Saccharomyces cerevisiae S288C: one gene and its partner. The gene in region 2 interacts genetically with the main gene of each other region. Each region holds a gene or a part of one and is shown on either strand. Other genes may lie near its edges.

The links. A genetic interaction does not mean that the proteins touch.
Region 1: mutations in YER053C-A (region 2) and FSH1 together harm fitness more than expected from each alone (negative genetic interaction), as found in Saccharomyces cerevisiae (one large-scale study listed by BioGRID).

What each region holds. Positions count from the first base shown.
Region 1 is NC_001140.6:204,353-207,749, forward strand, and holds FSH1 (putative serine hydrolase), read left to right. Parts: upstream 1-2,109; coding exon 2,110-2,841; downstream 2,842-3,397. Other genes in the region: YHK8 (Yhk8p), read left to right, coding at 255-1,799; divalent metal ion transporter SMF2, read left to right, coding at 3,302-3,397.
Region 2 is NC_001137.3:260,407-263,006, reverse strand, and holds YER053C-A (uncharacterized protein), read left to right. Parts: upstream 1-1,960; coding exon 1,961-2,074; downstream 2,075-2,600. Other genes in the region: GIP2 (Gip2p), read left to right, coding at 1-955.

The DNA.
Region 1 (3,397 bases), on a different chromosome or scaffold from region 2:
CAATAAAGCGGAGATTAGCACGCTTTTCGCCGGTCCTACGGATTTAGTGTTGGCTATTGTTGAGATTAGTAATACGCAGAGAATTTTTCTACCGGTGAAGCGACCATCTCAGATTATTAGGTCAAGCAATAACACTTGTTATTAGATGCGTTACGTTCACCTGGACCCTATATAAAGGCATATTTGCCTTACATTTGGTGTATGGTATCACCTTGTATACTAAGAACATATATATGCAGATATAACAACAGGATATGGTTGCAGAATTTCAAATAGCGAGTGCACAGTCATCGGCATTGACATCTACTGAAGAAGAGCATTGTTCAATAAACTCAGACAAAGCCGCAAAACTGGATCTGGAATTGACCAGTGAACGAAAAAATGACGGCAAACAATCGCATGAAGTGACCTTCAACGAGGACATCGCGGACCCAGAAGATATAGCACGGCATATGAGCACCGCCCGCCGGTATTATATTTCCTCGTTAATTACATTCACATCGATGGTAATTACGATGATCTCGTCCAGCTGGACGCTTCCTTCAACGCACATAATCGAACACTTTCATATTTCGCACGAAGTCAGCACTCTGGGAATTACGCTTTATGTGTTTGGGCTCGGTATAGGACCTTTATTTCTGTCTCCACTAAGTGAACTATATGGACGAAGGATCACATTTTTATACGCCCTTACGCTCAGTATCATATGGCAGTGTTTGACCATTTGGTCCAAGACCATTACGGGTGTCATGTTTGGCAGATTTCTATCCGGGTTTTTTGGTTCAGCCTTTCTAAGTGTGGCTGGCGGCGCCATTGCCGATATATTCGACAAAGACCAAATTGGTATTCCTATGGCAATATACACTACATCGGCCTTTTTGGGGCCCTCTTTAGGACCAATCATTGGTGGAGCCTTATACCATCAAAGTTATAAATGGACATTTATCACACTTCTCATCACTTCTGGATGTTGTCTCGTTATGATCATCTTTACCATACCTGAAACCTACAAACCAATGCTGTTAATACGTAAAGCTAAGAGATTGAGGAAAGAGAAAAATGATCAACGGTATTATGCTGTCCTGGAAGTCACCCGCGAACAGACTTCCTTACTTTCCGCAATCTTTCTCTCAACCAAAAGACCCTTTGGCCTGTTACTTCGAGACCGAATGATGGGTGTGCTTTGCTTCTATACTGGATTGGAACTTGCCATAATATATTTATATTTCGTAGCGTTTCCTTATGTGTTCAAGAAACTTTACAACTTTGGGCCCATGGAGATTGCATGCTCCTATATCGGTATTATGGTCGGCATGATACTCTCGGCTCCTACTTGCTTGTTATTCCAAAAAACGTTTGAGTGGAGAGTCAAAAGAAATAATGGCGTCAAGACTCCCGAAATGAGATTCGAGCCTCTGTTCTACGGCGCCTTTTTGACCCCAGTTGGGCTCTTCATTTTTGCATTCACCTGCTACAAGCATGTCCATTGGATTGCACCAATTATAGGCAGTGCAATTTTCGGTTCAGGTGTTTATTTCGTCTTTACCGGTGTTTTTGCGTATACAGTGGATGCCTATAGAAGATATGCAGCTTCTGGAATGGCTTGTAACACATTTGTGAGATGCATAATGGCCGGTGTCTTCCCTCTTTTCGGACTCCAGATGTACAAGTCAATGGGAGTGAATTGGGCCGGCTTTCTCTTGGCAATGGTGACCGTAGCGATGATTCCTGTCCCATTTCTGTTTACCAAATACGGTGCCCGACTGAGAGCCAAGTCGCCGTATGCATGGGATGATTGATTTTTTTGCATATTTTTTCCTTTGGATGTTGCATAATCTTTTCCCGCTTACGTCATTGGTGATAGATTGTTTCGGATCTTCAAAAGGCAACACGCATAGGCCAAAGAAAAAAGAAATTTTGCATTTTTTCATTTTTGCATATTCTCGCATGTTTTCTTTCTTTTTCTCTAGTTTTCGAATGTTTTTGGCTGCAATGTATATTGTATATAAACCATAAAGGTGCAAAATGCCAGATGTACGCGGCCAATCTTAATTTTCTAGTAAAAGTAGCAGCTAAATCTGAAACTCTCTAGCTTGTAATAAACGAAGGATGACTGTACAAATTCCAAAATTATTATTTTTACACGGCTTCTTGCAAAACGGTAAAGTTTTCTCCGAAAAATCATCTGGTATTAGAAAATTATTGAAGAAGGCTAATGTCCAATGTGACTATATTGATGCACCAGTCCTTTTAGAAAAGAAGGACTTGCCATTTGAAATGGATGATGAAAAATGGCAAGCCACCCTAGATGCGGATGTTAACAGAGCCTGGTTCTATCACAGCGAAATCTCTCACGAATTGGATATCTCAGAAGGTTTGAAGTCTGTTGTTGATCACATCAAGGCCAATGGCCCATACGACGGCATTGTCGGTTTCTCTCAAGGTGCCGCATTGTCCTCTATCATCACCAACAAGATCTCAGAGTTAGTTCCAGACCATCCACAATTCAAGGTAAGTGTAGTCATTTCCGGCTATTCCTTCACCGAGCCAGACCCAGAACATCCTGGAGAATTGAGAATAACCGAAAAATTCAGAGACTCATTTGCGGTAAAACCAGACATGAAGACCAAGATGATCTTCATCTATGGTGCTTCTGACCAAGCCGTCCCATCCGTCAGATCCAAGTACCTGTACGATATTTATTTGAAGGCGCAAAATGGTAATAAGGAAAAGGTGTTGGCTTACGAACACCCTGGTGGACATATGGTTCCAAACAAGAAGGACATTATCAGACCAATTGTTGAACAAATAACCTCTTCCTTACAAGAAGCTTCTGAATAAATCGTAGGTTGTTGCTTACCTGCTTTCTAGCTTTTTACTATCACACGCAGGGTGTGTGGAGTGAAATGCTGATCGAGTATGTATATATACATATAAGTACTTTGTATAGAATGAACCACAAGTTTGTAGCATCCTTTCTCTTCTCTTCCATCCTGCGTGCTGCTAACCCCGCCCGGCGCGAAAAATCCACCCGGGGTGCTTTAGCGTGGCTTACGAAGACCTTTTTAAACATACTTATACTCTTTCTCGAAGGAAGAAAATAATGCAGAAGAGAAACAGCAGAAAAAAAAGAAATCATATTAAATTTCAGAATCAGTCTCCTTTTGCTTCTAGTCATTTAACCATCAAACGCGTTTAACCGTTTAGAAAACCCTCTTCAACAACTATTTGTTTTGATACTAATATTAGCACATCTCTATTGCCATTTAACCACTAATTTTCCGTATAGCGTTTATGTTTGATGACGTCCCAAGAATATGAACCTATTCAATGGAGCGATGAATCCCAAACAAATAATGATAGTGTCAACGATGCGTATGCCGACGTGAATACCACT
Region 2 (2,600 bases):
ATATTTTGCTGAGGATGAAAGCCCTATAAACGTTAATAAAACTGAACAACACGATAATTGTCTAAGCTTTAAGCATAAGCCAGTGAATTTAATGGTGGACCCGGAAGAAGAGACAAAAATGCTATCATCTGGATTAGAAACGACATCCATAGATGATGACTTGACGACAGTTGCGCCAAAAGGCTTCGCACATCCTGCTAAAATTTCGAATCCAAACAATGGTAAAGGCACCAACAATACAAAATTAAGAAAAAGTAAAAGATTTCAGAACCTCCTAAAGAACAGGACCGACATGCCACCATCAAAATCAAATAAAAAATTCGTTAATGGTGGCGGTGCTCATGAAATTTCAGATCGTAATTCAAAAAATTACCATGTTGTTGGATTATACAGCAAGAACTTCCCCATTTTAAGCAACAAGAATCCTAAAAGTTTAAAGCTGAACATTTTTATCAATTTATCACAAAATAAGAAAGTTTTTCTACAAGAATTGTCATTATACATCCATAGAGACAACAATTACTTTTCAAATTCCTCCTCATTTTATAATATTCCCAATAGCCACAATGGTAATGACTGTAATGGTGTGGCCAAGGGTTATAACGCTGGCTGTACAAGATTAATTGCTGGAAGGATACTAGTGAAAAACATTTTCTATGATAAAAGAGTGGTGGTACGATATACGTGGGATAGTTGGAGAACAACACATGAAGTGGAATGCGTTTACATCAGTGATGGCGATGGAATATTGCCGGGCACTAACATGGACATTTTCCACTTCATTATCGATGATGTCAGCAAAGTGGATCCTCGCGGCAAGTTAGAATTTTGCATTCATTATTCTACACGTAACGACTATGAGCGCGAAGAGTACTGGGACAACAACAACGGGAATAATTATAAGGTGGATGTTGTAATGGATGGCTTTAACGATCCCTTCGCGGCGGCAGCATGAAGGCAACCAGAAGGAAGGAGATGAAGAATGGACATAAAAAGCAAAATGACTTGCTAGATCTTGGCCTGAGTTACTCTCATGATTGGGACCGAACTCCGATAAATAACTCTAAAACATGCTAGAATATTTCAAGTAAATATACATAAATCACAAATAAGCAAATAAACAGATAAATATCTCACAAGAAATCGGGAGCCGATCTTCGATGTGTGTGGGCGTATATACAAATGTGCATTCGGCACGTAAAAGACTGGTAAAGGCTACCGTCCTTCAGTGAGCATTTTTTACATTCATTCAACGCTATACAGCTCTTACTGTGCGACGGAAACGCGACAAAATGTGAAGAGAAAACTAGGGGTTGCTATGACACGACCACGGAAGGCCTAAAAAGTTAAGTGACAGAAATCGTCATTGGTAAAAAAAACCCCGAACATGCCGATAAAGACTTGCTTATTCACCTACGATGACTTCAGAAGTGCGCCTATATTTCTTTACTTTTGAACACCCTTCCACCGCCCATTTAGAGAGAGCTATTTTTGTGCCTTCACTTCCGGCAGAGGTTATATTTTTTTTTTTTTTTTTTTTTTGCATACTACTCCTACTTCTTTCTACAGTCTCATCCCGACGCTTCAGTTTGAAATGTAAGGGACTGCGGCATTTGACTGAAAGAAGGGAGAATGGATGGTTTACTTTACTTTTTACGTAATGAAAAAAAAAATGATTGCTGTATTAGGACATCCCTGTTCTTTTATGTGGTAGCCTATATCCGATAACTGTTCAGCTATAAGACGTGAAGAGAGATTTTTTGGTACCCCTTATGCATTCAATTAAATAGAGAATTAGATATTTCTACCGATGTGCATTTTGTATATAAAGAAGTAGGAATCCCTTCTACAACGACAGAGGTAGACATACTGCTTGGAAACATTCTTTTCGTCCTTTTACAGAATTCTACATAGAAATAATAAAAACAAACAATAGCTTTACTACACAGTACACACTACAATGCAAGATTTAGAGATTTTTTTGAGTATTTTCGCTTTCATTTTCGTTTTCTACTTTGGTGCTCATAGAACAGTCATGAACAGAAACAAGAGCGATGTTCCTTACTTGCAGTGATTTAAATCAGCTAATCTGCTTACTGCCGCCAAGAGAGGTATGCAAAGTCAGTTCTACCTAGTCTGGCTTAGCGTTTTACTATTTACGAAGTTGATGTTCTGTTTTCTAATTTATCTTTTTTCTACTCATTCATTTCCACACTACACTTAATATTTTTTCAATAATTTTCGATGTTTTTAATCCGGTTTTCTATTGATGAGCGCCTTCTTAGCTCATACTTAATACACGTTTTTTAAGATTTATACGTTTGACAGCTCACGCTGTTTGACCAAAGTTATTTTCATTTTTATGTTCGTAATTATGTATTTTTGCTATTGTATATGATATACGTCTATATTTAGGCAATTATAATATGATTATAATATAACTTACTACATCTCTAAAACATGCTGTCTAGCCCTTCCATCGCAAGACTCGGCTAGACATTCGAGGAAGGCACAAAAAGCCACCTATCCCCATCTCTCCAAAAAGCTTCATTTCGAAAATAAGAAGGGAAACATCCGAATAAGACTAAAACTTTGTTCCT